Yarrowia lipolytica: one gene and its partners. The protein of the gene in region 1 purifies or fractionates together with the protein of each later gene. This does not show direct contact. Links are inferred from orthologs where the notes say so. Each region holds a gene or a part of one and is shown in the gene's direction. Other genes may lie near its edges.

Region 1 (10,381 bases):
CCTGCTCCTCCATCCACGATGAATAGTGCCTCCTCTCAGAATGTCAAGAAGCTGTCCCGAGACGATCCTCTTGTTGCTGCCCTTGAACAGCTCAAATTGTCTGTGGGGTCGAGCTCCTCCGTGGGTTCTTCAGTGTCCTCCGCACCCAACACTGAGCCTCATAGCTCCAAGTACGGTACTCTTGGAAGTGGCCAGCCCATTTCTCAGCGACGGGTGGCTTCTCGATCAGCACCCTCATCTCCTGGCCGGTCTTTTGAGCCCTCCTACCTCAATGCTCCTGCCCCTGCATTCACAGCTCGAGACATGCAGCAGACTAGTCAGCAGTACGCTGCTAACATGTTTGGTGAGGGACACTCTCGGGACTCTGGAGGAGCAACCCGTGAGCCTGTGCATCGCAAACCCGTCCAGCGAACGCCTGAGCGAGGACGAGCACCTCGATCTGACCAGCCCAGACCGAAGAGCTATTACGAGGGAGCTTCCGCCGAACAGATCCAGAGACAGCTCTATGCCGAACAGGGCCAGCGAGCTCATTCCCCCTCCATTGTGGGAGACAACCACTACCCTCGTACTGTTTCTCCCGATCCTCAGCTGAGAAGTGTCTCTCCCAACCCTGCTGCTCGACCTGGTAGTGCCAACCCTTATTCTGAACCTCTACATGGTCGATCTCAGCCAAACCTGTATGCCGCTTCAGGTCAACAGCGACCTCAGCGAAGCCACACACCTAACGGGCGATCCTACGATCTCTACGGAGCTCAGCAGCAGCAGCAGCAGCAATACCACCTGCATGCCCAGCAGCAACAACAACAGCAATACCAAGATAGTCGTCCTAGATCCAAGTCCATGGGTGAGCCTCGAGTGGATCCCCGAATGGACCCTAGATTTAACCCAGATCCCCGAATGTCATCTCCTCGAGGCGCACCACAGCTCCCACGAGTCTCTTCGGATGGACGGCCAGTTATATCTTATTCCAGAGCGCAGTACGACTACCGAGCTGCCATAGCTGAGGAGGTGTCGTTCCGAAAGGGCGAAGTGATGCTGGTACTGCGAATGCAGGACGATGGCTGGTGGGAAGTGGAGGTCTACGGACGAGGCCAGCGAACTGGTCTAGCTCCCAGCAACTTTTTGGCTGACATTTAGACGATGGAGCTCTGTTATTTATGTATGTATAGGTTGGTGTAATTTAAGGACTTTGTATAATGATAGCGAAGTGTGTAGACTTACGGGGCACTGCACTGCGGGGTCAATAATTAATGTCAATGTTTTTACACAGTAGAAGACAAAACGCTTCTACCTACTACTTCTTAGGCACCACAGAGAAGAAAGCAGTAAGTCGCTTGTTATTTTTCGGTGCCTTCTCTTCCTTGGCAGGTGCAGATTTCTTCCGCTTCTTCTCAGGGGGACCGGAAGGACCCTGTGCAGCCGATTCAGCATCTCTCTTGGCCTTATACTCGGCCTTGTGCTTGTTGTAGGGCTCGAAATCGACGCTTTTCAGCAAAATCTCGGTGACATCTGGCGGTAGGTTGGAACCCAGCATGTTCATGGAGATGTGCTCTTTGGCGAGATCCTTGATCTCGTCTGATGCGTCTGAGTCGAGCAAGTTCTGTACATGTCGCACATAAATATCGTTGGGCAGGCTCTTCTTGATGCTAGCGACGATAGCCTTCAAGTGAGCAAGCAACTTCTCGTTGGACAGCTTGTAGAACTTCTCTCCCTCGTCCATAACCTCGCACACATCTGGGATGTACTTATCAAACGTGTCCTGAGTGATTAAGTCCATCCTGTCGACACCGTGGCACGATGCCTCGTGCAGGTCGTCCAGAGTCATCAGCTTGTCCTTATGCCGCACCAGAGTGGGTAGAATGAGCCATAGTGGAGAGAAGGGAGTGGTCATGAAGACCGAGGGATCCTGAATCACACTTCCCTTGTCACCCTCGACTTGTAAAATGATGCTTCGGGGATCAGGTGTGCCCTCGAAGTGCGCATTGGAGCCGTTGATCTGGGTGATTTCGTATACCTTAGTGTGCTTGGGGTCGGAGGAGTCAACGACGAATCGAGCCAGGTTTCTGGTTCGAGGGTGTGTCAACGACACAATTGTTGGTTTTGTGGTTGGTGGCAGAATCACCAGGTGGTTCTTGGTCGTGCTCAGAGTGCTGGTCATGGTTATGTATTGTAGCGTAGACTGTTTTGGTATCAGGTTACGCTTCGATTTCGCTTCATCACATTGCTCATGCATCATCGAAGCTAATCCTGAACTTCAAGCAACGATGCTGCTTTGTACGAGTTGATGGAACGGCTTATGAGGAAAATATGGTCGCGGCTACGAGGAACGTATACGACAGCAATTGACTGAGACAGACGACAGTGACTATGTCACGTCGGACATTCTTGAGACAGCTAGGTGTTTATGTGGTCTGGACTCTGGGGCAGGTGGGACTTCTCATCTATTGGATCATGTATAAACCAAGTAATGGGCTAGAGTTAGTTGAAAAAGTTCTACACTCTAGCTGTAGACACTATAAAGTCTAAAATACGTCCCCAAACCAGAAAAATTTTACATGCATCCAACAATATCCATTAATGACATAATCCCTAGATAGTGTTATCTGTTCCAATTACCTTCTTCATACAGTATATACCGATACTTGTATACTGGACACATTCTTCACACTCATAACCTCAAGTATGCAATGCAAGGCTAAACAATTTTTTTGTGAAGAGATTGAGGTGAAATTTCAGAAAACCTACATACACAACCACATTCGTCAACGACAGTATTAATTAAAGGGAATAAGTGAGTACCAAAAACTGGGGACGACAGTCATATTGTCACTCCTCGTCCATTAAACTAACCCAGTGTCTACCCTTTCTCAACAGCTGTCCCAACTCGGCGGCGGATCTACCGTCGACCGAACCTGGAAGCTCAAGCAGCACTCCAAGTCGCTCATTTACGAGCCTCAGGTTGCCCAGGATCAGGACTTTTCTTTTATCCACGCTGTTGGTGTTGAAGGCCTGCGAGATCTCGTCTCTCTGGACTCCCGATTCGCTCAGTTCGAGAATAACCTGTTCAGCGACACCTCTATTGATGTCGATCGATATGTGCAGACCCAGGAGCAGAACGACCTGCTCGACAAGGCCATTTCGGCGTTCCTTTCTCTAATTGGACCCTACCTGATGCTCTCCCCTGCCGTCAAGGCCTTGGAATGGCTCGTCCGACGTTTCCATGTCAACCAGATGAACGCTGAGCAGCTTCTCCTGTGTGTCCTCCCCTATTACGACCAGGACATTTACCTGCGGGTCGCCGATGTCATCATCAAGCTCCCTCCCCTGTTTGTTTTCCTTAACAAGAGCAAGTCTGCTGCCCAGAACCCCCCTCGAAACCTGTTGATCCGAGCCTTCAGTGCTGATATGCGTCTGTTTGAACTCATCACCGAGTATATCGTTGGTCAGACTACCACAAAGACCTCATACCAGCGACAGCTGTCTTTCTGGTCGCAGTTTGCCATCTACGGCCTGGTCGCCGACAAGGCTGACCCCGAGCGAATGCTGGAGATCTACCTGCCGGCTCTGGCCAAGCTCGTTGTCACCATCGATACCGACTGCCAGATTGCTGCCTACATGGTTCTGACTGTTCTTGGTAACAAAATGCCTCTCAACAAGGAGGTATTCAACGCTCTCGTTGAGACCATCGCTGCAAACTGGACCCAGAAGGCCATCAAGAGCGGTATTCTTTGCATCACCCAGATGTACCAACAAAAGCAGGAGCCCGAGGTGCTGCCCACTAGCGTCATGACCGCTCTCAACAAGGCCGGTTTTCAGCCTTCAGATGTTGTCGCCCTATCTCAGAAGTACAAGATGGCTCTTTTCACCCTCGGATACTGCATGGCTCTGCTCCGGAACCCCGACGCTGCCAATTTCAAGGGTCTTGAAGAGATCATTTCCAACACCCAGTTTGGCTCTAACGAGTCCACCTTCCTTATGCGTTACATTGTTGACTGGGCCCTTGCAAAGGAGACCAACACGTCTGTTGCTGCTCTGGCTGCTCCCGTCATCGCCAAGTGGGTTACCCGAGGTGAGACTGTGCCTGAACTCGACCAGCTCGAGCTCAAGCTCCAGACTGTCTTTACTGAGGCTGCCGTCGAGGAGATGGAGGTCGAGGAGATCCAGGAGGATGTTGATGTCGAGTCTCTCGTTGAGCAGGCCAAGAAAGCCGCTTCTCAGACCACCACCTACTTCTCAACCAAGACCTCCGAGAATTACGCGGAACTTTCCAAGATTTTTGTTCAGCTCATCGAGCGAGGATACACTATGGACAAGTTTGTCAGCATGTTCTCCTCTGACATTGCTTCCCTAACCTTCTTTGCTCGAATTTGGGCTTCTCCCTCACCTCTTTTGGCGCGTCTTGCTGCCGTGGAGGCCGCTAAGACTATTATTACTGCCGCTGGCGAGGCCGACTTCCAAAACCTCATCCCTTACACATGCATTGCTCTTTCTGACGCATCCCAGCGAGTCCGAAAGGCCGCTGCTAGCTTCGCCGAAGTGCTCAAGTCCAAGCAGAACAAGAAACCCATCTGGGGAGTGGAGAAGATTTACACCAACGACTGCTCTTACCTCGGTTCTGGTGACGTTACCGTCCTTCTTAACGCTCTGTCTCTCGAGGAGTGTATTCTGGACGAGTCCTTTGTTATCCGACAGGTCTCTGATATGATCTCTAAGAAGAAGGGTTACAAGAGCGCCTTCTCAACCGCGGTTCTTGCCTACCTCGGCTCGCACGCGGTATCTCAGGAGATTATCGCCATTAGAACATCTCTTCTTACTCTGGTCACTTCTTCCGAGGAGCCCATTGTGCCTACCACGAAGGTTGTTGAGCCTCTGTACATCAACCCTCCCAACGATCTGGCGTACATTACTGAGTTAATCCGAACTGTCACCGACAAGACCGGAATCAAGTTCCTTGAGTCCCTTATCAAGAACGACTCCCCTATCTACGATGAAGTATGTGATATTGTCACCCAGCGACTAGTCAAGCTGTGGCCCACCCTCAAGGGAGATGCTCACCTGGGCCTGTTCCGATTCTTTGTTGATCTTTCCCTTGACAAGGACGTTCCCTTTGACTCTCTTGATGTTCTCGCTCACGTTGATGTCCCTACCAAGGTCTTCATCTCTCTGCTGGATGACTGCAAGGTCGAGCAAAACACAACCTCCATGGATGCTCCTTCTGACGAGTCTACTAAACGACGGAGACGATCTTCTTCGTCCACCGTTCGAAACCTGCTACAGGGCAAGCTCCACCATATTGCTGAGCGAAACTTGCGAAAGGTTTCTCTGGTTCTGGAGCTGCTTGTTGCATCCAAGACCACTGACGACGCTCTTCTAGGCCCTTTGTTCACTCAGCTTGGCGAGATTCTGACTCTCGGAACCGACTCCAACCTGCCTATTGACTACTGCCAGTCTCTGCTTGCTGATGTTCTTCTCAACATCATTCGAGCCAACCAACACGATGGAGCCAGCATTGATCGAGATATCCGAGTCGACATTGTTGTTTCTGCTATTCGAACCGCCTCTAACGCCCAGATCCAGAACAAGTACCTGCTCCTTGTTGCTGAGCTTGCTACTGTGGCCCCAACTCTGGTTTTGCACTCTGTCATGCCCATTTTCACCTTTATGGGCGCCAACACTCTCCGACAGGACGACGACTTTTCCGTCCATGTCATCGAACAGACTGTGGCGCGAATAGTGCCCTGTCTAGCTGGAAACACTGACAAGGTTGACATGCTTCTGGTCTCTTTCGTCACCGCCTTCCCCCACATTCCTCAGCACCGACGAGTCAAGCTGTTTGGCGAGCTTGTCCGAGCCTTGGATGCCTCCGGAACCAAGGACGCCCTTGCCACTTTGCTATTCCTGTTTGCCCAGAAGTCTGCTGAGCTTAAGACTGCACGTAAGACTTCCGAAGTTTCTGCTATCGCCAAGTTCTGCGACTCTCTGTTCAAGCTCTTCGATGCTTCCAAGCAGCTTGCTGTCGTTCTTCCCTATGTCACTCTGGTCCAGGAGCTGTACGCCATCATTGCTACGGACCCCAAGACCAAGGAGAAGGAAAAGAAGACTCGACGACAGATTTTCTTGCAGGTCGACAAGGAGCTCGAGGTTTCTCCTATCGACTTCCTGGTTGTTCTGCTCGAGTCCCGAATTCTGCCTCTCCAGGCCGGTCTTGTCCAGAGCCCCGAGGCCCTCAAGATTGCCGAGAACGTGCTCACCGTGCTCATTGAGAGCCAGTACCCTGAGTTGCTCAACGTTATCCTGTCTCTGCTGCCTCTGCCCCTCTTCGTCACTGTTGCTGGCCGACTTGGCTCTTCTGTCTACAAGACTGTCCTGGCCCGATTCTCCTCAGGTTCTATTGAGGAGGAAGATACCAAGGCTTCCGACACTCTTCTCGAGTCTCTGCACAGTCTGCTGAAGTCCACCACCGATACTGGCGATCTTGTTCTGCTGCTCCAGATCGTGGAAACTGTGGCCTCTGGCTTCCCTAAGTGCTCTGATGCCCTTCTTGTCACCTGTGCTGGCGAAGCTGTAGCACAGCTCAAGAATTCTGACGACGATGTTTTCATCCAGGCCGTATCTGTCCTCTCTTCTCTGTGTCTCCGACTGGGTGCCCGAATGATTGGTCTGTTCCCTGCCACTATCTCGTCTGTTCTTGCTCGAGACTCTTCCGACAACCTCATTGCTCTGTCGGTTCTGGCTCTCTTTGCCACCTTCATCAAGCGACTGCCCTCTTTCATGGTCTCTTCTCTACCCAAGATCTTTGAATTTGCCCTCAAGTGTCCCGCTGATACCGATACCCGTAAGCAGCTCTTTGTTGTTTGTGTCGAGACCATGGACTCTCGAGTTGTCCTCCAGACTCTGTGCGACTCCTGGAAGTTCGTTGAGGGCTTCGAGAATGCTCGTCTGTTTGCTGACACGCTTGATCTGGCGGTCGCCGAAGCTGACAAGAAGCAAATCCACTCCAAGGCCGACAGCCTTATCACTCTATGTCTGGAAGCTTTCGACTCCTCTCTGAAACTGGAGGCCAACACTGCCGCTCGTGTCCAGAATCTGTTCATCAAGTGCCTGATTGCCATTGTCCTCAAGCTCAATGACAAAACCTTCCGACCTCTGTTCGTCAAGATTGTCGACTGGAACACTCCCGAGCGATCCACTCTGCTGTTCAAGATTGTCTGCCGACTGCAGGAGAACCTCAAGTCTATTGTTACCTCCTACTACGGTTACATCATCGATCTGGCTCTGGAGATTCTTAACAAGGCTTCTGCAATCACTCCTGCTCTCCAGCGAAACATTCTCTCTTCCCTTTACTCTTCTTTCCGATTTGACCGAGAAGAGTTCTGGAACAACGAGGAGCGTTTCACTAAGATTTCCGACGCTCTGGGTGCGCAATTCCCCTATCTCACCAAGGTTGCGCCCGAGAATTCCAAGCTTCTCATTAAGGCTGTTGTGGCTCTCTGCGAGCTGGCCTCTGAGGACCAGAAGAAGCAGCTCAACGACATGATGATCAAGCTGTTACGCCAGGCTCCTCTTTATGGATCTCGATGTTTCGCTGCTCTGTTCAACAACGTTGGCGAGGAGTTCCTTCCCTTCCTGCCTCAGCTCGTACCCCAGATTGCCGAGCTCCTTGAAAGTGAAGATGAAAAGGTTGAGTCTGCTGTTCGTGCCGAACTCATTCCTGCCGTTGAGGAGGTTCTTGGCGAGTCTCTCGACCGATATCTTGCTTAAGGTGTTCCAAAAATGAATATCTAATTAATTGTAAAAAATTTAATGACCGCTGAGTGCAATTGTGGTGTTCTTTTTGTTTCTACAGTATATGTATCGTACACTCGTAATTGTAGTGGACTCTCTTGACTCTGTCCAAAACACCTTTGACCACATACTTGAAAGAAGTGGCACTTTCTCACTTCAGTAATAATACACTGCACATACCCATATACTTGCTCTGTCGCTTGGTGGTCTAAGACCTTCACTTGGTGAACCAGTAAATCAAGCTACAGTAGCACTGTATTTCACTTTCTGTCTGTGTTCTAAAGGATCTATCTTGCTGCAAGTATGTACGATACTGTAGCTACCGGTGCTCAACGCACAAAAAGTACACTTCCACCAACCAGCTAGACTGCGAACCGCTTGTGAACGTGCTTAGCAAACCCTTTCTTCTTCGGCTCAGACACCGATTCAGATTCATTCTCTAAGTTTGAGCTGTCCGGAGTTCCTCCTGCTCCCTGAGGTGTTCCTTCAATTGAGGTCACCTTCGACGTTAATTCCAACGGTATTCTCAACGTCTCCGCTGTTGAAAAGAGTACTGGTAATACCCAGCAGATCACTGTTGCAAGGACAAAGGTCCACTTTCCAAAGAGCAATTTGAGCGAATGGTGAACGATGCTGAAAAGTACAAGGACGAGGATGAGAGAGAAAGTCAGCTCGAATTGCCGCCAAAATGGCCACAAGTCTTTCTCCTTCTCCCTCAAGAACACTCTCCGAGAACAAGTTCAAGGGGAAGGTCTGTGAAGCGGACCGAGAGAAGCTCAAGAAGGCTATTAACGAGACCATCGAATTCTTAGATGCTACACAATCCAGTGCCAGTGAAGAATACTCCGATAAGCAGAAGGAGCTTGAGAGTTTTTCCAACCCTATCTTGATGAAGTTTTACGGAGTCTCTGGAGGTTTCCCTGTCGCAGGTGAGGGTGCTGCCCATTGCGGCGGCAAGTGCCCTACCGTGGTGGAGGTTGACTAAGTCATGAGTGCTACAGTAGTCACATGTACATGCAAAATATTATAGAATAATTTATGATCAATTGATCAATGAAGTAAGCAAACTTGGCAGAACTAGTGAGCAATGTATAGAGATGATAAATCAGTACTGCAGTGTATGTGCTCAGATAATGAGTAGCTAAGCAACTACAATTGTACAAGTAGTGAACTTTTGAAAGAGTTGAAGTTTTGAGATGTGTAAGCGTTGATTTATTATTTTGACGGTACATGTTCTGTAAGATCTCCAATTTCTGTCCTTCTGTGGCCATCCGATCAGGCGGCAAACTGAATACAGTACCTATCTACACATCCACTCCGTCCACATCGAAACCAGTGTACGCAATTTCGCCCCCACACTCCCTTGGTAAATCAGAAATATGTACAATTACAATAAATAGCATCATTTAACCCTGTCGCTGCTTGTGTCGAGGGTGGGTCTTGCAGTAGTTGAAAACTCGACCCTTTCGAGTGACAATCTGATATTAGTAACGTGTCTAGAAGGGGCGGAATCACTTGATCCTAGTGAACAGTGTCACGAAAAACTCTTGTGGATGGATACTTACGTAGCAGTCGGGGCATCGCTTTCGCACGGCAGACTTGGTCTTCATTCCTCGGACGGTGATGGCGGCAGCGGCATTCACGGCCGGTCGAGACACCTGGCCAGCGGTCTGGAACAGGGAGGGTCGCTGAAGAGTAATCATGGCCGGAACTCGGCTAATGGATCGAAGGACGTTGAACATTGCGAATTTGATTGTCTGGTCTTTGCAACGCTTTTATGTTGTGTGAATTTTTCAAAGTTCGCACTTCAAACAATATAAACTTTTGGCGCCACGGTCCAGCTTTAGCCACCAGGGTTATGTATATTTGGGACTGCACGGAACATGTGGGCACACACGAGAGACTTCCGTACGTATGTCATAAGAATGACTCGAAATAGTAGTCGGAGAAGTGTGAAAAAAATGGACGGGACTAAGCGAAAATCCGACTACAATCTGGTGTAATTCATACTCATCACGCTGTCCAACATATGTCTCGGATTTAATTCTCCACGGCCTTAACTCACCATTAGGGTATGTGAGTGGTATGATATTGCTGGGCTATACCGGAAAAGCACTCATCAGCCGCGTGCTAAGTTCGTGATTGCAACAAATACTCGAGCTTGGGGATATAATTAGGTACCCACGGGACCTTGATAACGCGATCGGGTAAGACCTCTAACTTACATGTGGAGATATCTTGCCCATAGTATCCTTTGAATGACCAAGAAATATACCGAGCAGGGGTTTGTGCAATTTGTAATTGTTAAATACCCAATTGGACTTGCTTGGTTGATCTAACAACAATCAACGACTCGTACATACTGTGCTGCCGGTACTCGTAGCACGTGTAATTAATGTAGACTGGGTGGAACTGCCACATCCTCGTGGTGTGATATCAGTATGGTTTTGTGAAAGCAACAGGATCGAAACTTTTCAACTGTCTCGTTTAGTAGTGGAGTTATTGGTCCCATGACAGTTCGACAGAGAGATTATCGAGATTGCGCTTTGAGAAATACTTGCACGTTTGTTGGAGACACGAGCACAGAGAGCTCCGT
Region 2 (7,399 bases), on another chromosome or scaffold:
CGGGGTCGTTTATTAAATCCCAATGTTCATATACATTGTCTGTTTAGGTGCCATATACAGAAGCCTTTCTTCTGCACAAGACTGCTCATTTGTGACGGTTACATAATCAGAACATTAGTAAAAATTATATCGTTGAAGAGCTCTTGTTCAGGTGAACACAATTGTTTTGTTGTTAACCGTCGATAGGTTTATTATTGGCTGGGTTGTGCACTTCTTTTCAGGGGACGGACCGTATGTAGCTCTGGAAGAATGAAGTCACCTCCAAGTCAATGAATCTCATGCAGACAGAACCAAAGTATCATAGTGTCGTCACGTGAGACGCGGAAGTTGGACACGTGACCAACTACTCGATCTTGTGCTCCGGTCACGTGAAAACTGAACACGTGGACAACTATGCCAGTCATATGACAACATGCACACACCCTCCACTACTCGTACAGAACCAGAATAAATTATTGTATTTCATTAGACCGATGCAGACCGTTGTTAGACGACATACGGTGGAGGTCCCGTGGCATATCGAAGCAGTGTAGAGAGATGACTGAAGTTCACAGGTCGACTCCTCTGGTGAACGGACCACGAGCGGACCCATCGGACTTTGTCGTTGGTGTGGAACGGAATAGATTCGGGTCTGGATTTTCTCCATATCAACTCCCACCCTGCCGAGCTCGGCTAAAACAAATCATCCAAATCCATATCGTCGTCACTGCCCACACCCTTGTCCTTGACCTCGCCCTTTTCCACCTTGTCCTCACTCTCCTCCTTCTCCTCCTTCTTTTCCTTCTTATCGATCTCCTTCTTCTTCTCCTTGATGGTATTCTTTGCCTTGAGCTGTTTCTTCTTGACCTCCAGCTCATGTTTGAGCTTGGAGATTCGCTGGTTGAACCGCTCCTTGAGCATGGCGTTGGCGGTGCGGTCGGCGTCGTCCTGCTGCTTTTTGATGGTCGCCTCCAGATCTGCAATCGTGTCGACCAGCACCTTGGCGTGTCCTCCCTCTTCACCGTCGTCGTCATCGTCCATTCCGGCCGACGCTCGGGGCAATTCCTCTTCGTCCGAGTTGTCCGACTCACCTGCGCCTTCTCCCTCATCTTCGGACTCGGACGCATCATCGGCCTCGATTTCTTCGCCCTCATCCGAGCCTTGGTCCTCCAGGGCCCGCTCCAGCTCTTTATCGAGCAAATCCACGTCCATTTCTCCCTCGTCGACCATGGCAAACCGCGGAGGAGGAGTGGCGGCGGCAGAAACAGTGGTAGACACAGATTGCGAGCCCGCAACCCCACCGGCTCCATACAAGGACGCCAGGGTGCGTCCATCGACAAGCTCATATGATGTGGAGTCTGCCTCGTCGTCCAGATCCAGCAAGTCCGTCACCTTTTGCTCCACCGATTCAATCACCTTTGTGGACACGGTTTTTCTGAATCGGCGACGTTTGGCGTCAAACAACGGCGGAGTCAGGCCATGGCGACAGGTCAGCGCGCTTTCGCTGGAGCTCTTGTCCCATTGCATCGACCGCGCCTCCATAATGCTGTGTTCGGACGAAATGGGCTCGGTGACAAGTAACATTTGGCAAATGTCCAGACACTTGAACATGTTTTTGCCGCGGTCAAACGTCTTTTGGGCCTCGACGATCGCCGGCAAGTCCACCAATTTCGCCGCGTAATGCCGCCCCCGCACAGAAACCACCGCCCTGCGCGAGTCCTTGAACCGAATCACAATGTTGCTGTAATCCTGGTTCTCCACCGCCGTCCGCAGATATGACAGGTCGTCGCGGCCTCTTTTACCGATTGGTGGGAATCGCAAAATCAATCCCTCTTCAATCAGCGGATCGTCTTCGCGGTCCGGCGCTTCGCTGTCGTATCCCTGGCCCGGTTCGCGGGCGGCCTTGACTCGGATCCGCGGCACCACCTTGCTCTTTTTAGTGGATCCGCCACTCGCGGTCGACGCCCGGCTGCTTTCCGGCGCCGCGCTCTCGCTCTTTTTGTTGCTCAGTTTCAGGGACAACCGCGGCTTGGACTCCCGCTCTTTTTTGGGCGCCTTCAACTTGATGCTGAGCGACGGAGTGCTCGGTTTGGCCCCTTCCTCATCCGTTTTGCGCTTCTTGGTCCGCCGCTTCTCCGGCGATGCCTCCGGCGACCGTTTTTCGGGCTTCAGCTTGATTTTGATCATTGGTCAAGTGGAGAGAGTGGCTAAAAGTGGTGACAAGTGTCTGGAGTAAGTGCAGAAAGTTTATTTAGAACCAGACGGGCCCTCCAGTTCTCGGTAGGTCAATGAAATCGTGTCGAAAATAAAATATTTGGAATCTCCTCAATCACAGCTCCACAATGGTATTAATATTTCGGGTGGACGGTCGGCGGGAGACGAACTTATCTGAAATCTTACTTGTTGACATTTGTTGAAAATTGGTTAGCATTCTGGTGTCATTTGTTGAAACTTGGTTAGCTACTGTTACCAAACCCTTTCCAGATAGTTTTCATGTTTTTCAACACAATCAAAGAACAAATGAGAAATATTGAATGGAGCATACTATTTAAAACAACCCCATTAACAAACTGCAACTTCAACCATTCAAATCTGAGCAATGTTGGAGCTTCAAGATGAGAGTCAGTGTATACATCAGAAGTCGTGGGAAGCCAAACAGAGTCTCTGGAATCGCCAAAAGAGTGTCTCTTTCGTCAAAAGGTGATCTCGTCCACTTGTTTTCGGTAAGACATATCTACGAGTACCTACAATACGAGTACCTCATCACCGTGAGCATCCAAGAATCTCCTAATCTACAAATTCTGCATTACGAATTCTGCCCTATTATCACCTTAGTCAGCGACAGCCCATCAGACATTCCCCCCCCCCAGGTCAGTCAAGGTCACCCCCACCGCGCCGACCAAGACTCTGATCACGTGACCACCCTGAAAGTACCCATTGTTCTCATCACGTGATCATTCAATCCCGTCGATCCTGTTTCCGTTTGGCTCCACTTGAGTATATCTGACTATTTTTTTATCGATATCACTTTCTGCAGTGATATGCAGATCGGAAGAGCGGTTCAGCAAATGAATTAAAATAAATAAAAAATAACTAGAAATTAAATAAATAAATGAAAAAAAATATAAAAATATATACAAATATATACAAAAAAATGGGATAAAAAAAGAGAAAAGGAAGAAAAGAAAATCGCACAATGTACCTACTTTATTGTGAAATTAGTGGAAATATGGAGCCGTCTAGGAAGATTCGACCGTATTTAGATGTGGTGTAGCGTGGGAATTTTTTTGGAAAATTGGGACCGGAAAATCTGAAATAAAATGGGAAAATTGGGACCGGAAAATCTGAAAATCAAAATAAATCAGATAAAATCAAATCTCAAATCAATAAATCATTTCCCTAAAAAAAACCCCATTTCAAGCCTCCTGAATCACAGCAAAATTAGGAGAAGAATTTTCACTGTGGAAACGATGGGACATGGAAAATGGAAAAATGGAAAATGGATAAAAGAAAAAAAGACAATTGGAAAAATTGGAAAAATTGGAGAAAATATGGAAAAAATGAAAGATGGCAAAATGAGAATGGAAAATGGGAAAATGGGGAAATGGTCAGAAAATACCACATGTATCAGTTCAGATGTTTCCCCGCTCAGACTCGCCCAGACATTCGCTACACTCTCATCTGGGCTTGTCTCGCCTGGGCCCTAACCCTAAAATAAACTTTGGAAAAAATTTAGTCGTCCCAAATTTTTTTCCCATCCATCTCCACTGACTACACTTGACAACCGCACTTGTCATCTACGTCACCACCGCCCACACACGACACCATGACATTTATTCTGACGGAAACGTCTGCCGGCTACGCCGTGCTTAAGGCCAAGGACAAGAAGATCTACAAGTCGGAGTCGATTCTCGAGGAGCTGTCGACCCCCGAGCTGGTGACCTCGCAGTTCAAGGTCAAGGGCTTCTCCAAGTTTGACTCTGCCGCCTCTGCTCTGGAGGAGGTCAACGCCATTGTGGATGGCCGGGTCTCCGACAAGCTCGCTGCTTTGCTCAACGAGTTCAAGGACGAGAAGAAGTCTGCTCTGGTGGTGGCCGACCCCAAGCTGGGCAACGCCATCAACAAGCTGGATCTGCCATTTGACGTGGTTGCCGAGTCCGCCTCGCTCGATCTCTTCCGAGCCATCCGAGAAAACCTGCCCTCTCTGCTGCCCGGCCTCACCGAGAAGGACCTGGCCACCATGAGCCTGGGTCTGGCCCATTCGCTGGGACGACACAAGCTCAAGTTCTCCCCCGACAAGGTCGACACCATGATTGTGCAGGCCATCGCATTACTAGATGATCTGGACAAGGAGCTCAACACATACGCCATGCGAATCAAGGAGTGGTACGGCTGGCACTTCCCCGAGATGGCCAAGATTGTCGCCGACAACATTGCCTACGCCCGAGTCATCAAGACCATGGGCTACCGATCCAACGCCTCCGAGACCGATCTGTCTGAGGTGCTCCCCGAGGAGGTTGAGGCCGCCCTCAAGGTTGCCGCCGAGGTCTCCATGGGTACGGAAATCACCGAGTTTGACCTCGAAAACATCCAGTGCCTCGCCGACCAGGTCATTGACTTTGCCGAGTACCGAGAACAGCTCTCCAACTACCTCAACGCCCGAATGGCCGCCATTGCCCCCAACCTGACCGCCCTCGTCGGCGAGCTCGTCGGTGCCCGGCTCATTGCCCACTCCGGCTCCCTCGTCAACCTCGCCAAGGCCCCCGCCTCCACCGTCCAGATTCTTGGTGCCGAGAAGGCCCTTTTCCGAGCCCTCAAGACCAAGCACGATACCCCCAAGTACGGTATCATCTACCACGCTTCGCTCATCGGCCAGGCCTCCGGCAAGAACAAGGGTAAGATTGCCCGAATGCTCGCCGCCAAGGCCTCCGTGTCCATGCGATACGATGCATTTGCCGAGGAGCGGGAGGACGTGCCCATTCTCGGCATCGACAACCGAATCAAGGTCGAGAACCGTCTCCGACAGCTCGAGGGCAAGGAGATTGTCGGCACCGTCCGACCCGACGTGAACAAGATCGAGCACAAGAAGGTCGACCTTTCCACCGGCAAGCAGTACAACGCTGACGCCGACACCGTCGGCAACACCACCGCCGGAGCCGACTCTGACGACGAGGATTCCGACTCTGAGGAGGAGGTCAAGGAGAAGAAGGCAAAGAAGGAAAAGAAGGAAAAGAAGGACAAGAAGGAAAAGAAGGACAAGAAGGACAAGAAGGAAAAGAAGGATAAGAAGGAAAAGAAGGAAAAGAAGGACAAGAAGCGAAAGCGAGAGGACGACGACGACGAGCCCAAGAAGGAGAAGAAGAGCAAGAAGTAAAGTAGATAGTGGTATGTATTTTAATTGTTAGACAGACGCGGAGGAGGTTCGACAAATGAGGGCACAGCCCGAGTCGAGAGTTACCGACCCAGGCAGTAGAAAGTAGCAGCGACCGCCGCGAACGCCGCGAACGCCCACTCACAGTCGAGATTTACTGATCTATAAACAGTAGGAGAAAACACCAAGAGCGCCGACTGCCACTGACCACCGACTATAAATGTTGGGATAGACTGCTTGTATCGTATCAGAACACCGACAACCGAGTAGTGCTGCAGCGTCTTGGTGATTCCCTGGACCCCCTGTGAACATGCTGATCTTTAAGGCCTGTGTTAGTCAATGCAAGTGTACTCACGGGCTGAAAGTAGGACACATTCCTATCACCTATAGCGTAACCGTGAGGAGGAATGTGGCATGGAGAACTGCCGTAGTGATCAGGACTGTACAAAGTCGGCAGTCATCATTAATGTGTCTGTGGGAGACGTGCGAAAGCGTGCGCTGTGATTGGGAACGAGTTCCGAGGGGAAGCTTGGATTTTCCGGAAGAAGCCAGAGAGCTTCTGCCACTTATCGAAGTATTGCAAATGAAATGGCTGCGACTTTCGCCATCAATACCGGAGGCACCTCTGTGCTAAGAACATTTGCAATGGTTGGGGGGCACTGTGGGATAAGAGCAGGCTATCAAGGATTGATCATGACGGGAGTATAGGGGCGGAGAACTAGGCCAGTATGGGGAGGGTGAATAGATATTCGTGTAGAGAATTGTCAACGGAGGAGGTTGCATGGAAACGACTTGATGACGTGGTATGAATGACGCTGCACCATTGGACAAGAAGACAGAGCCTGTGTTGCGCGGCTGCGGCCAGAAGGTAAAGGGGTTGAACAATAAAGGGGTCTCGGTAGAAGAGGAAATAATTCAATTACCCCTTGACCACGATCATACCCCAACCCTGCCTCACCACTGGACCACTCATTACACTCGTATTACCTCATTAATTCACCTCACTCCCTTTCTTTCCAACCACCATCCTTCACGGACAACACTGGCTCTACAAGTAGGCGACCGTATGGAGACCATTGACCGGACGGCTGTGGAGGGGGAATTGGATTGAAGGAAACTGGGTGATGGAGGGAATGAACAGATCTGGTGAATTGGAAAAGCGAGAGGAAGGATGTAGCGGATGACCGGGTGGAGCCTAGAATGTGAGCGAACGAACGAGCTCCAAGACCTGGGCAATCAGTCTTAGAATCTCTTTGATACGCTATGGAAACCTTGCGACGGCTTCTGATTGGGCATTTGAGTAGAGATTTGTTTCTCGGCGATTTCAACATTGAGGCGAGAACGACCGCCTGCGCCAAGTGTCAGTAGATCCGAGACTGTATGTCCTGTTGACAGCCATGAGCTGACGAATGCCATGAGCTGAGAGCGAGTTTGGCCGAATAAAATGACCGAGCCTGCTCCGTGCCTTGTGAGTTCTTGAGGATCACATGTGCCGCTGCCAGAGCAAAGAGCCAGTCAGTGATACATTCGCAAAGCCACTGACAGAGATATTCAAGGGTGAAACTTCCTTGACACAGGTCCGTGTTAGCTATCATTCACGAGGTATCTGTGACTGTACTTACGTTGAGTGAGCGAAGAGAGAAGGAGTGGAGACAAACTGAAGGCTTCACCATGAACCGGAGAACCGGTGTGAAGTAACACTGAAGTCAGCGACATTGTGTGCGTATCTGTCACTGGAGCCAGAGACATTGTGTGTGTATCTGTCACTGCTGCCAGAAGAATAATGTCAGACATTTACTGGGTGGTCTCAAAAGGGCGGTCTGCAACGTTGACTGCGACGTTGACTGCGACGTTGACTGCGACATTGACTGCAACAGTGGATATCTGTTGATCGACTCTGTCTGTCTGTGTTCGTCTGTGACTGTCTGCGTTCGTCTGAGTCTGTCTGTAAGAATAGTGGGGGTCCCAACTCCCCCTTATATAATTTTTTTGGACCAAGATCACGACATGGTTGGTGTTGGGTGGCCATTGCTCCAGTCTATTTAAACT
Region 3 (6,918 bases), on another chromosome or scaffold:
ATTCCAAACCTCCATACAGGCCTCCATACAGGACCATCTCCACATACTTTAGTCGGCACCCAACATCCGCACCCGACATACGTCATGATTGACAGTATACCCGAAGAGGACCAGCCGGACTTTGCTGGGTTTACTTCTCGTGCGCCTCAGGCTCGTGGACGACGCTTCAGCCACCACAGAAGTTCCTCCGACTCCTCAAGCTCCAGCCATTCCCCCCACGCTTTGCGGGGATTTTCCGGAGGTCCATTTGTCCCCGAGCTGCTGCCTGGTTTCGTTCCCGGACAGTCCAAGCCGACAAATAACAATGGCTCCGCTAACATGAACTCGAATCCAGCTCCTCAGCAACACACTAGCATGCCTCCGAATGTACCCCCTCCGCCGCTACCTAGCACCAACAACAACACGACGACGAACAACAACCCGTTTGGACCGATCCTGAGCAGCTACCCGGGATATAACAGTCCCCAAACTCAGCATCAACAGCCACAGCAGCCCCCGCAGCAGCCACAATACAACCCTCCTGCAGCGCCTTATCAGCACCAAAATGGAACCCAAAGTCTGGGGCCTAGCCCACAACTTCGAGGAGAGGATTTCGTCAACATCGGCCATCAGCAACACCACTACGCATCACAGCATCAACAACAGCCACTTCAGCAGCCACCACCCGTTCAGAATCAGGCTACCAGATCGGCATCTGCAGGAAACCTGGTCCGTCCGAACGCCCCATTTGCTGCCAACAGTGCTACGACGACATCCTCTGTGCCATCATCTCCCTCTGCATCTTTCTACGGCCAGAGCGACTCGAATTCGACTCTCATCGGGTCCAACTATTCGACAATCAATCTAAGCAATGTCAGTGGAAACAGTCCAGTTACTCCGACACACTCGAACCCAGGTCTAGGCCAATCACAAGGATACGGTGGGAACCCTGGCATTGGCTCCTATTCGTCGAATAGCAGCACTAATACGGTCCAACAATCTATGAGCACGCTCGATGGGGCTACTGCTGCCACTGCGGCTGCTACTGCTCTCAGAAGGGTATCATCTATTCCCATCCAGTCGACTCAACGGCCGATTTCCCAAAACGACAACCCTCCAGATACCAGTCCCAAGAAGACGCGGTCATTTGGCCACTCAAATAACCCTTTTGGAATCCACTTACATGGCCACAATGGCCTCAAAAATTCAAAGCTGGGTAAGAAGATTTCTGGAAAACGTTCGCCCAGCTCTAGCCCCAAAAACGTGGCTACTGGTTCCACTGGGTCTAACAACGTTGCCAGCTCAAGCGCAGCTATGAGTAGCAGCGCGTCTGTGAAATCCGACATGAGCTCTGTGGTTGGTGGTATGGGAAACAACAATGACGTTGGACTCTCTACCACAAACACAACTTCCACAGACAGTTCGACAGCTGCCGCTGCAGCTGCGTATGCCCCCAATGTGCCCTCTAAACAGTCGGCTCTGTTTAAGGCAAAGCTGTTTGCCAAACAAGCAAAACAACAATCGTCAGCCAAGAGTTTAAAGCCCAAACTCAAGCGCAAAGGCAACATTGACCTTACTATTCAGACACAACTCCCCAGCACTCGTCCTTCACTAGCAGAAAGAAGTCCACTGAACAGACCTTCCAAGGAACTGGAACGAATTGCAAGCATCGGCAGCAACGTACCCATCACGCCAACCATGGCGTCTGGCAGAGGAGATTACAACCATCCCTTGACAGCCGGAGCTAAGGATGACTCTCCCAGTGCGAAAAACAAGGCCCACTCCATTCTGCTGAGAGCCAAGAAGGATGTGCATTCTGCGGCTGCCTTCATGTCTTCGTCTTCGTCCAACTCCAAGCTCATCAACGAACAGGGCGGTTCCTTATACTCGTTCCAGAGCTCCTCACCTGGTGCTTTACACAAGAGTTTTTCCAGTGCTCTGGAACTCAAGAATTTCAACCAGACCAAGGAGGATAAGGAACAGCTCGCTGACGACGCATGGGCGCTTCTGTGTTCTCGAGTGCTTCCCTTGTTTTCAGGTGAAGGCATCCGAGTCCCCATTGAAGATCTCAACAAGCTGGTGGTGATGCACACTAATCTGCGGATCCAGGAGCATGTCACAGCCAAGTCTTTGTTGCAAGAATTCAAGGACCTGCTGAGATCTGGCATGTATACGCTGGACTCTACTATGTCCCGTGTGCCAGATGACAAGCTTATTGCTCACCTGACGACAGTTTGGGGTCACTTCTTCTCAGACGTGCTCCCTTACTGGGAGGGTGTCTTTCTGCCTCTTCAGCAGGAGTTCGATGGTTACGGAAAGAGCATGAAGCCCGAAGAGAGCGAGAAGTTCTGGGGTATGTTGCTCATGGACCGTGATCAGCTGAACATTCGTCTCATGACTCTGTGTGCGTTCAGAGACTACATCATTCTCCCTCACTCTGAGCGGTTGACTCGAATCATTTCCAATTTCGAGCTATCTTCTCAGGGAGCCAACACTCCCGTTAGACTCTTACAGTGTTTCTCCATCTTGGCCTCCATTCTGAGTGCTGATGCGCAACAGCAAAAGATGGACGAGCTGGTGAAGGTGCTCAAGACAGGATGGTTTTCTCGTTCCAGGGCAGGCAAGGACAGACGAGGCATGATTATCAAGGCCTAGAAACGCGAGACCCGTTATTATCTGGCCAGTTATTTATTTATATTTATTTTACTACTCAATTGTATATTATCGTAGCTTCCGTATGTGCAGTTAGTTCAAGTACAGTACAGTATTTAGCTACTGCACGCGGTGGCCAGCCCTGCTAATAATCTGAAAGCACACTATCCTGTGATATACTGTACGCCACCAAATCGTTTGTCAAAAATGCAATAAATATATTCGTAGACCTATATATCGGTCCATCTGTTAGAGGCCAAAACTGGCCAGGTCGTCCATCTGCTTCTCAAGCTCCTTCTTGGTGACGAGCCGCTTCTCTCGTTCTTCCTCCTTCTGTTTCAGAAGGGCCTCGCTCTTTTCCTTCTTCAGTGTCTCCTTGGATTTAACAGAGTAGACATCCTTGAGAGCATCTGGATCGTTGACGAGATCCAGCAGAGCCGAGTCCTTGTGTTTCTGGCTCTTCTGTTTAGGCACCGGCTTTTTGGCTGTCTTTTTTACACCACCAGTCTTGTCACGTGTTGGTCTGGAAAATGGACCTGCTCTGGCCTTTGATTTTGTCACGTTAGTCTTTGCCATGGTTGTGTAATGTCTGTGGTTGTGTTGTATGGCAACGCCTCTCAAAATATTTCTCTTTAGGTGGTTCAACGTGCATAAACTTAATTTTGGTGTGTGCCACCTCTAAACTAATTTCCCAAGTAGCTATTGATTACCTAACTACTAATTCCAATCCGCCAAACTCTGATAGAAAAAAAATTGAGTTTTCATGCGACAAATTTATCTCGTCCAAGGTAGACAGTTTCACGACACACTACACAGCCGACAATGGTCTCTACTCATAACAAAGACAAGCCATGGGATCAGCCCCACATTGATAAGTGGGCCGAGGATGAGTTCACCGAGAAGGACAACGCTTCCGGTCTGCCCTTTGCCGAGGAGTCTTCCTTCGCCACACTGTTCCCCAAGTACCGAGAAGGCTACCTAAAGGAAATCTGGGATGATGTCACCAAAGCCCTCGACCAAAAGGGTATTGCATGTGTTCTGGATCTCGTTGAGGGTTCCATGACCGTCAAAACCACCCGAAAAACTTACGATCCTTACGCCATTATGAACGCTCGAGATCTCATCAAGCTGCTGGCCCGATCGGTGCCTTTCCCCCAGGCAGTCAAGATTCTCGAGGACGGCATTGCATGTGACGTTATCAAGATTGGTAACTTCACCAGCAACAAGGAGAGATTTGTCAAGCGACGACAGCGTCTTCTTGGACCCAACGGTAACACTCTCAAGGCCCTGGAACTGCTCACACAGTGCTATATCCTTGTTCAGGGTAACACCGTCTCTGTCATGGGTCCCTACACACATATGAAGACTCTGCGACGAGTGATTGAGGACTGTATGATGAACATCCACCCCATTTACCACATCAAGGAGCTCATGATCAAGCGAGAGCTGGCCAAGCGACCCGAGCTAGCCGAGGAGGACTGGAGCCGTTTCCTGCCCCAGTTCAAGAAGCGAAATGTTGCTCGAAAGAAGCCCAAGACCATCAAGAACAAGGTTCGAACCGCTTTCCCTCCTGCCCAGCTGCCCCGAAAGGTGGATTTGCAGATCGAGTCTGGAGAGTTCTTCTTGGGTGCCGATGAGAAGCGACGACGAGCCGACGAGGAGAAGCGACAACAGCAGGCTGCTCGAAGTGCAGAGAAGCAGGCCCAGAGAGAGCTGGCCTTCATTGCGCCAGACGAGGACGAAGAGAAGGCCAAGAAGGAAAAGAAGAAGGAGAAGAAGGAAAAGAAGGAAAAGAAGGAAAAGAAGGAGAAGAAGGAGAAGAAGGAGAAGAAGCGAAAGAGCGATGACAGCGACGATGAGGGAGAGAAAAAGAAGAAGAAGAAGAAGCGATCCGTGGAGTAGCTTGCTTGTTCAGTAAAATAGATTTGTAATGCATAACTTGGTTAAAATAAATTAACTAGCTAGGCTAGAGAGCTATTCTAAAGTGCACCAACCTCGACCATCATTAACCTGGTAGTTACACAGTCCAGGCTCAAGCCAGAGACTGACTAGACCAGCAAGAACAATACCGGCAGAATCACTCATACCAACACTACCAAGAGCAAACTCTCGCTCTGCCAAATCAGCCTGTTCGGTAATCAGCAGAAAGGTGTTGACATAGGCAGCTCCCCCAAGCAGCCCTTCGTAGAATATGAGAATGAACACCAGCCAGACGTTGGGTAATATCGGTGACATAGACTGTGCAATGCAAAACACGAGGTTGGCAAACTGGAGCACTGAGGGGATCATAATTCGTCTAATTCTCACAAATGGTGCACTCGAACGTGAGATAAATACTCCCAACTGGTATAGTGTTCCATAGGTCACATAGACATCTCTGAACTTAGAAAAGGGCAACTCTTCCATGGGAAACAGAAGTGTGGGTGCCACTCCCTGGTTGATGGTGTACTCGGAAAAGTAGACCAGAAACAAAGGCAGCATGTAAGGCATAACCAGCGGCTTCAAACGGACCATTGTAGTTTCGTATCCAGAAGCAACAAACTCCCAGGTGATTGGCTGTGTTTCAATACCTGTTTCAGGGTCATTGCTGTGCACAGGGAAGGCCCCTGGTACACGGTTATAATCTCTAGGAGGAAGGAGATAGAAGTAGACTCCTAAGAAGGCCAGGGGAAAGAATGCAAAGACAAGCAATGACGTCTTGACTGAAACTCCGAGTACCGTGGTCAAGAGCATGAACAGCCCGCTACCCACTAGCCCTGCACCTCCAGTTCCGCTGCTCCACCCATTGAGAGCCCTGGTATCGTAAAAATGGGTTAATTGGAGAAAGGTGACCTCGCCCAGACCGGAAGAGAAAGAAGCCAGCACCACTCCCACGAGTTTGAGAAACAGAGGAGATGCTAGTGACACAGACATCATTCCCACAGTTGACAGGCCAACCAGCAATGTTATTCGGCGGTTATAGGGGATTTTGTGGATAAAAAATGGTGCTGCCAGCTTTATCAAGAACGATGGGAGTACGTCGGCCAGTAACACCACGGCCTTGGGTGTTTGAGGTCCCACCAGGTCTACTGCGGCGGTCAAGATAACCACATAGAGCACGTTGTTGACCAACCCAAATGTCCAAAATGCGGCGTACACAAGATGAGCAGGTTCTAGTTGCATTATGGTTGCTGAAATGTTCAATTCCTTGACATGAGTGTGTCAGTGACTTTTCGAGTATGGCCGTCGCTGGGTGGCTGGAGAAGTGTGACTGGTTGTTTATCAGTGAGTGTCGCTGTTCTGTGAAGCCAATTATCCCAACACGCATGGGACAGGCAAGTCTAATATGTGGAAGTGTGTGGTGTGTGGAGGGCGTGAATATGTGCATACAATAGCTCGATACATTACTAATCGAAATCGATATATTAACCCTTTATCCATTCGATAAGCACCATTATTGTACATTCTAATGGTAAACACGCCCCCGTTTCTACTGACTACAAGTAGTAAGACTACAAGTAGGGGTGGCGTTGGGTCGTGTGAGTGAACCCAGAGCATGGCGTAGTCAGCCCTATCACATACAGTACACTACAGCACGTAGCTACTTGAAACCATTGCAGTTTATAGATTATAACTAGAAATTCAGTACATGTACGAAGAGTATGTCGGGTCATTACACTGTTCAATACCTGCTCCGAGCCGAACATATCATTAACTTATCCCAGTACATACTGTACACCTCTGATGGCGCCCCATTACAATTGCTAAGAAAAACGACAGCAGCATCTCACTTCCACCACAACATAATATACACTCTATTACTATCCAATTAAATAGTGACCTCGGGCTTGGGCTCCACCTCAACTCCCTCTCCTCCGTCAAGAGGGTAGATAGAAAGCAGGTTAGGGCCTCGAATGACCGCCAGACCGATCTCTCGCACCTTGCCTTCCTTTTGACCCTCAAACTCGGCAAAGTCCTCGCTCTCCTCGTCCTCGTAAATGGTCTCCTTGACGTCGTCGAGAATCAAGTTCATGAGCTGATCCCAGCCCTTTAAGGTGCCCTCGATCTTTCGGCCAGTGACCTTGACAACCACTCGCTTGTTCTCGAATCGAGACAGATCTAGAATGGGCTCTCGCTTGGGGAATTCCAGCTTCTTGGACTGGCCCTGGTTCTGACCTTGGCCCTGGCCCTGGTTCTGGTTGTTCTGCTGCTGCTGATTCTGTTGGTGTTGCTGATTTTGGTGCTGGTTGTGTCCTCCATAATGGCCAGCGTTGCCATGGCCGCCTCGGCCGCCTCGTCGCTGTTGTT
Region 4 (6,931 bases), on another chromosome or scaffold:
TGAGTGATTGAGGAGACAATTGGCCGGCGGTCAATTGAGCGACACAAAACCCCGCGCGCGCACGCACTAACACAGTCTCGAACCTTTTTTGTTGGCGGAAACTTCAAGATGAACGGCTCTCTGGAGTCCATCAAGGCCATTGTTGAGCGACTCAACGCCTCCGAGCTCGACCCCAAGACCGAGGTGGTCATCTCGCCCCCCTTCCCCTACCTCCTGCTCGCCAAGGAGTCTCTGAAGAAGCCCACCGTGTCTGTGGCTGGCCAGAACTCTTTCGACAAGGGAGACGGTGCCTTCACCGGTGAGGTGTCTGTGGCCCAGCTCAAGGACGTTGGAGCCAAGTGGGTCATTCTCGGCCACTCCGAGCGACGAACCATCAACAAGGAGTCCTCCGAGTGGATTGCCGACAAGACCAAGTACGCTCTTGACAACGGTCTCGACGTCATCCTCTGTATCGGAGAGACCATTGACGAGAAGAAGGCTGGCAAGACCCTGGACGTTGTCCGATCCCAGCTCGACCCCGTCATCGCCAAGATCAAGGACTGGTCCAACGTGGTCATTGCCTACGAGCCCGTCTGGGCCATCGGTACCGGTCTCGCTGCCACCGCCGAGGACGCCCAGCAGATCCACCACGAGATCCGAGCCTACCTCAAGGACAAGATTGGCGCCCAGGCCGACAAGGTCCGAATCATCTACGGTGGTTCCGTCAACGGCAAGAACTCTGGTACCTTCAAGGACAAGTCTGATGTCGACGGTTTCCTCGTCGGTGGTGCTTCTCTCAAGCCCGAGTTTGTTGACATCATCAACTCTCGACTTTAAGCATTTCAGTGCGATTCGAGTGAGTAGCACGATAATAGCCCGTGTCCATGTGCTTTAACACGTGTGCTGTGCTATTTGAATATATCTTATGAATGATACATGTAAGTGACCCGTAGACCACAGATCAACATTCCGAGATGCATGCGAAATGTGAAACCAAGGCACCGGCCGGTACATCTACTCCAAAGTGTCGAGATGTAGTCTGAAGAATGTATATCAACCGTAGAGGTCCATGTTGACAGAGGTTCTACCTGAGAGGCTCATTCTGTTGACTTAAGTGCACAACTCCTGGCATCCGATCAGCCTGATTGCACCCACAGCCTTCCTACAGTCAGACACGATAGTTCATTATCACTGTTAGTCCGCACCAAGTACCCACCATTTTCCAAGTTCACGCTTGCTTTGCTACCGTTCTATTCATCTATTCATCCTCATCCATGTCTACTTGTGCATCTTCTCATTCCACTCGACACAGTCACTGAACTTGACCTTGTCTCCCCCAAACACGTCGAGGGCACTTCCATAGGTCAGATCCACCTTGCCATGCGACAGTTTCTGCACCAGGGCCAAATCATCAATGTTCTTGGCGCCGCCAGCATACGTCACAGGGGGCAAATGACCCTCCTCAAGCCACTCTCCCAGCTTAGTTACCAGCTCCTCATCAATGCCGTTACAGAGACCCTCCACGTCAGCAGCGTGGATCAGAAACTCGTCGCAGTGCTTGGCCAGCTGCTCCAGCGTCTCCTTGTTGACTTCTGTGTCTGTGAGCGTCTGCCATCGGTTCATAGCCACCACCCACTTGCCGTCTTTTCGTCGACACGACAGATCCACCACAATGCGCTTCTTGCCGCCGTAGGGCTCCAGAATGGCCTCCAGATCTGTGAGTCGCTTCATATCGAGCTTGGCGTCGGGGAACAGAAAAGAAGTGACAATCACATGAGAAGCTCCCAGCTTGATCCACTTTTCGGCATTGTCGTGGTTGATGCCTCCTCCAATTTGAAGATGATCGGGCCAGCCAGCAAGGGCTTCCTCGGCAGCCTCGTCGCAGCCAGGACCCAGCTTGATAACATGGGTGCCCACGACATTGTTGTCCTTGTACAACTGGGCAAAGTATCCCGGAGGCTGGGTAGCGACAAAGTTGGTCTTGAGATCAGCGTCTGAGTCCGTCAGAGTGCCTCCGACAATCTGTTTGACCTGTCCAGAGTGGATATCGATACAGCCTCGGAATTTCGTCATGTCTGAGCTCGGACCTGCGTTTTGGTGTGAGTACTGTGGTGGTGCAGTTGAGATAATGACTCTCACAGATCATGCATTTTCATGTATAGTACTGATCAGGAACTTTATTGGTGGGTTGGAGGAGCATGGTAGGGACTGCCAGAGTAGACAAAGCGACAAAAGGGGATTATGGAGGAATATATAGGGTGGTGGATCAGGTCATGTGACTGCATTTTTTGCTTCTGGTCGTCATTTATGTGTGGTGGAGATTATGAACATTGGGCAAGGAAGAGCTGAGATTGAGACACTGAGGTAGAGTGTGTGCGGAAACTACAATATATAACTCCTTTAGAATGATCACTGGATGCTTACGAGAAGTTGGAGGGTTGAAAACGAGACAGAATTCATCAATGGTTCAACTGACATAACGTACTTGTACCGGTACTTGTATCTGACTTTTTCAGCACCTCCTTGTCTACAATCAGAACTCCCGCTATCGGTTGAAACTCTCTAATCTCTTCCTTCACTCAACTGTATGTATGTACATACTGTAGTTCACTTGGGTAGAAAGTAAGTGTCAGAAAGTGAGCCGTGGGTCTGAAAAGTACCGATATTTGGTCCAATTAAGTAGACGTTTGCAACTGCCCCGCCCCAATCCCCACATAAGCCCCCGCCTTTTCCTCCACATCTCCTACTCACACTTCGGCAGCTCTCCCTCTCTCTTACTAATCTCACCCCCCCATTTGAGTTTATGCACGATTAAATTTATTTCAACGGCCTGAAATTTATTTTCGACTCTGCAACATCACTCAACTCATCATGCTAGGAGGATTCAACCCGTTTGATCTGGGCGATCTGGCCCAGGGGACCAAGAAGGCGGCCCCCGCGAAGAAACCAGTGCCTGCTGAGCAAGCCCAACCTGCTAAACCTGCCCAGAAGAAGCTCGAGGAGAAGCCCAAGGAGAAGGAAGTGAAGAAGGAAGATACCAAAAAGGAGGCTGTTGAGGAGGCCAAGAAGACAGTCAAGACTAAAACAAGCAAATCTAAACCCGTTAAACCGACAAATACTTCCAGAAAGGTCTCGAAACCCGCAAAAACCTCCAAGGAAGACGCCGAGAAGGAGTACCACAGAAAAATGAGACTAGCATTTGAGGCCCAGTTTGGACATGTTGAGGGGCTAAAGGAGGACGACAAAGAGGATGAAGATTCTGAGTCTGAGTCGGATGATAACAATGATGACTTTGACGACAACGAGGATCTCGTCGAGCTCTCCAAGACTTATGTGGAGCGGCCATCAGACGATGAGATGGACACCGAGAGCGAGAAAGAGGAGGAGGAAGAAACGAAGAAAGAAGAAGGACCTGTGATTGTCCGGTTCACTGGAAGCGACCGTTCTACGAGGGACTTCAACGAAAAAGCCGAGAAGAAACGGTTCATGAGCAAGAAGACACCGTTGTCTGAGGTCCAGAAGGAGGAGAAGGAGAAGCTACTCAGTGAGACTCAAAGACGAGTGCCCAAGACCAAGGAGGAAGAGGAGGAGGAGAAGGAGGACCTGCAGAATGACGTGGCTCTGCAACGACTTATCAACGAGTCTTCGATTTTGCATTCTCAGGCTGCTCAGTCTAGCTTCTCTGGAGCAGATATTTCCTTCCTGGACGATGGTCCCATTGGTAAGGCTCGTCTTAAGACCCTGACGTCTCGAATTGAGAGTCTGGGAGGCAAACATATCCCGCTCCAGAAGAACATGCCAATGTTGACTCGAAAAATGGTCAACTCCAAGTTCCAGAACAAGGTCAAGGCCGAGCAAGAGCATGCCCAGGAGGCCGGTATTATTCTGGCTAAGACGGCTCCGGTGGACAACCGGTTTGCCATTCGAAAGAAGAAGGTTGTCAAGCGAGACCGAGGTCTGAAAATCAACTCGGTTGGTAAGAGCACCGCTGGAGGAATCAAGTTGTCTAAACACGAGATTCGCAAGTTTGGAGGTAAGATCTAGGACACCGGAAGAATGACTAGGAGACTAGTCCAGGACACAGATACAGGAGTCACGTGAACGTTTAAATGGCACCGGGAGGTGATGACAAAAAAAGCACGCATAGCATTAATATACAGGTTGGATGAATGAGTCTCTATCAACTGTAGTTTGTTTAGATATTAACTATAATCTATTAAGAATCCAAGTAACATTTGGGGAATACTTGGAGAGTTCAATGAACTAAGCAGCAGACTATGGCAGTCTATAGGAGACGCTCAAACCACATTGTAGCACCTTTGATGGCCATTTTCAGCTCTAGCCACCAAGAAAAATCTGTCCATAATATTCTGTAGACAAAAAACCTCCCCAATATCACCTACCTCGGCTCCTCTACTAATACTGGGTTCTCCTACCCCACCCGAAATCATAGCCAGATTATACCACCGGTTCTACAACTCTAAACCCCACCACGTGAAAAGAGAAATGGCAAGCAAGAGCACTTTGGAGAGCTGTGGCTGTATGGGGAAGGCGATAGATACTGCCAATTAATGTCAATGGGCCGCGGCTACATATTTCAATCTTCTCCGTGTCCACAACCCGGCCCTAACCCTCTGGTTGACGTGGTGGCATTTCCCAGTTGTGCTCTCCACAATAACCTGCAGCCTACATACATATGACATCACACATCACATCACATCTCCATCACACATAGCGTTTGAGATTTCGATTTCGAGATCACATCTTCTCTCAGCATTACACACGACATGAGTGACTCCATTGGTGAGTAGGGGAACGACGGGAGAGGACACGTGGCAACAACTGAACCGCGGAAATGGACCTGCTTGTGTCACCAGTACTCGTGTCAGTAGTGCGAGGTGTGGGGTCCGAGATCACAGAGACGGGCAGACACAAGCAGAAGAACACCAAGAGGAGCCGTCCAACAGGCAACCAACTACGCACACAAACAGCCCCAACGGATTGGCACACGTGAGATTTTCACGGCTCAGCTACATTAATGTCTCAATCGGCTTGGTGGCGAGTTGGACAGATACAGACATTACAGAGACAGGGACGGTGTGACGGCAAGGGCCGTGGCAGGGATTCCATATAAAGAAGACCGTACCACCCTGTCGCACCGACCGGATGTGTCCAAGGAAACTGCCCCTTACTTTCATGCTGCTACCATGCTCCGGACGTTTGCCGTAGATACTGTCGTGTGCTAGAGCGGCACTAAGGCTTGCTAGTGTCTGTTGCCGCTGAATGGACTCGCTAGGACCTACGCTCTCGTTACTCCTGTTCGAGATTGGTTGCTACATTGCTGGAAGTGACTGTTGGTGGTCTGTGCACACTCGCTCCTGTCTGGCCCAGCAGTTCTCATACAGTCTTTTTGACAGCTGGTCACCAACACCCCCATTATACTAACTCAGACCGGGTATTTGTCCGTGCTATCAACACAATCCGGACACTCTCCTCACGGCCAGGATACTCCTCGCGACCCCGCCCCCCTATCGAGTCGCGCATCCAGCTCTATGGAATGTACAAGCAGGCCACCGAGGGCGACGTGATGGGTGTCATGGCCCGTCCGGTTGGAGATTCGGAGATTGATGTGGCTGGCCAGAAGAAGTGGGACGCCTGGAAACAGCAGCAGGGGCTGTCCAAGACCGAAGCCAAGCGCAGATACGTGTCGTTCCTCATCTCCCTGATGAACACGTACGCCTCAGATACTCACGAGGGGCGCGAGCTGCTGGCGGAGCTGGAGTACATGTGGGATCAGATCAAGGACGTCGCGTCGGACTCTGAGGGCGCCGAGGAGGAGCTTTACGAGGACGCTGTCGAGTATCCCTCTCGATCGGCTCTGGGACGGGCCGAAGTTGGCACTTCTCCCAGTCACGTGAGCCATGGCAGTGGAGGTGGCGCCCATGGTAGTGGGGTGGGCGGATCAAGCCGAGCACAGCAGGGGTCCAACCTGACGCATGGCTCAGGCAACTCGCGATCACACCATACTGCCATTGCGCCGCATCCACAGAGCAATCTGGTCCAGAGCCAGAGCCAACATCAGCATCAGCAGCATACTCCTCCGATTCCGTCGGACAGGTTCAAGAGCGACATGGCCTGGGCTCTGCGAACCATCAACGAGGAGATGGCAGACATGGCGAAGCAGTACCGGCCAGCGGATCCGTCCGAACCGCGCCGAAACTGGAGGCGGCGAGTCCTGTTGCTCTTGCGGGCAATAGGTGTGCATGTGGGTATTGATATGGTGCTGTTTGCTATTCTTGCAGCTATTTTGAAGGCCCGACGAGGCGGTAAGGGGCCTGCGGTTTCACGGGGAGTGGTTTCTCCCGTGCACACTTTCCCTACCAGAGTGCTATCTCTTGCATCTCTTGGAGATCACATTTCGTATCATATCATTCAGATGGCCGACGGCGTGTATGGATATGCCGTTGCCTGGGTTAGCATGTCGTAGGAGGAAGAGGTGGAGGATCAGGTAAATGATTAGGGAAAGGGTATATAGGTTGAATACTGACGATAACGTCAAAGTGTTGTACTTGTAGCTATATCAAGGCTTATCTCGATGAGCAAAAATGTAACTACAACCACAGTTGCGACATGAGAGATAAGAGTGCGGTAAGAAAACAAAGCCAGATCGGAGGCGCGCTCATGACATAAATGTTGGATAGCAAGCAAATTAGACAGTCAGAACAAGGGGAGAGAATTGTAAATGATGCACGGTAATTGCAGTAGTTGCAGAGCCTGTAAACTATCGCGGAAAAACTACGGGCTCCCGCCGTATGATGTTTAGTGCTCTGCAGGGTGCGCGAACAATGATGAGGCACAAGAGATTTTCTCAGAATCGTACGTTATGAGCAGTTTAATAGCGTGCGTTCGATGCAGTTCTTCTTCAGGAGTTGCTGGAACGGACTACAGTACT

The links.
Region 2: the proteins of YALI1_E34933g (region 1) and YALI1_B01628g purify together in Saccharomyces cerevisiae (affinity purification with mass spectrometry; 7 studies listed by BioGRID). This does not show direct contact. The link is inferred for Yarrowia lipolytica from reciprocal best matches to the Saccharomyces cerevisiae genes UTP10 and NOP58.
Region 3: the proteins of YALI1_E34933g (region 1) and YALI1_F37963g purify together in Saccharomyces cerevisiae (affinity purification with mass spectrometry; 6 studies listed by BioGRID, with this or other methods). This does not show direct contact. The link is inferred for Yarrowia lipolytica from reciprocal best matches to the Saccharomyces cerevisiae genes UTP10 and KRR1.
Region 4: the proteins of YALI1_E34933g (region 1) and YALI1_F07819g purify together in Saccharomyces cerevisiae (affinity purification with mass spectrometry; 3 studies listed by BioGRID). This does not show direct contact. The link is inferred for Yarrowia lipolytica from reciprocal best matches to the Saccharomyces cerevisiae genes UTP10 and FAF1.

What each region holds. Positions count from the first base shown.
Region 1 is NC_090774.1:3,486,122-3,496,502, reverse strand, and holds YALI1_E34933g (uncharacterized protein), read left to right. Parts: upstream 1-3,171; coding exon 3,172-7,761; downstream 7,762-10,381. Other genes in the region: YALI1_E34979g (uncharacterized protein), read left to right, coding at 1-1,137; YALI1_E34942g (uncharacterized protein), read right to left, coding at 1,295-2,236; YALI1_E34880g (uncharacterized protein), read left to right, coding at 8,474-8,770; YALI1_E34870g (uncharacterized protein), read right to left, coding at 9,192-9,263, 9,351-9,527. UniProt on the Saccharomyces cerevisiae protein: Involved in nucleolar processing of pre-18S ribosomal RNA. Required for optimal pre-ribosomal RNA transcription by RNA polymerase I together with a subset of U3 proteins required for transcription (t-UTPs). Involved in ribosome biosynthesis.
Region 2 is NC_090771.1:159,216-166,614, reverse strand, and holds YALI1_B01628g (uncharacterized protein), read left to right. Parts: upstream 1-3,805; coding exon 3,806-5,353; downstream 5,354-7,399. Other genes in the region: YALI1_B01644g (uncharacterized protein), read right to left, coding at 673-2,166. UniProt on the Saccharomyces cerevisiae protein: Required for pre-18S rRNA processing. May bind microtubules.
Region 3 is NC_090775.1:3,792,897-3,799,814, forward strand, and holds YALI1_F37963g (90S preribosome/SSU processome component KRR1), read left to right. Parts: upstream 1-3,453; coding exon 3,454-4,533; downstream 4,534-6,918. Other genes in the region: YALI1_F37929g (uncharacterized protein), read left to right, coding at 85-2,634; YALI1_F37986g (uncharacterized protein), read right to left, coding at 4,606-5,793; YALI1_F37998g (uncharacterized protein), read right to left, coding at 6,440-6,910. UniProt on the Saccharomyces cerevisiae protein: Required for 40S ribosome biogenesis. Involved in nucleolar processing of pre-18S ribosomal RNA and ribosome assembly. Essential for vegetative growth.
Region 4 is NC_090775.1:777,859-784,789, reverse strand, and holds YALI1_F07819g (uncharacterized protein), read left to right. Parts: upstream 1-2,850; coding exon 2,851-4,023; downstream 4,024-6,931. Other genes in the region: YALI1_F07847g (uncharacterized protein), read left to right, coding at 76-816; YALI1_F07827g (uncharacterized protein), read right to left, coding at 1,258-2,052; YALI1_F07793g (uncharacterized protein), read left to right, coding at 4,767-4,782, 5,430-6,466. UniProt on the Saccharomyces cerevisiae protein: Required for pre-rRNA processing and 40S ribosomal subunit assembly. Seems to act in the processing of 35S rRNA at the A(0), A(1), and A(2) cleavage sites.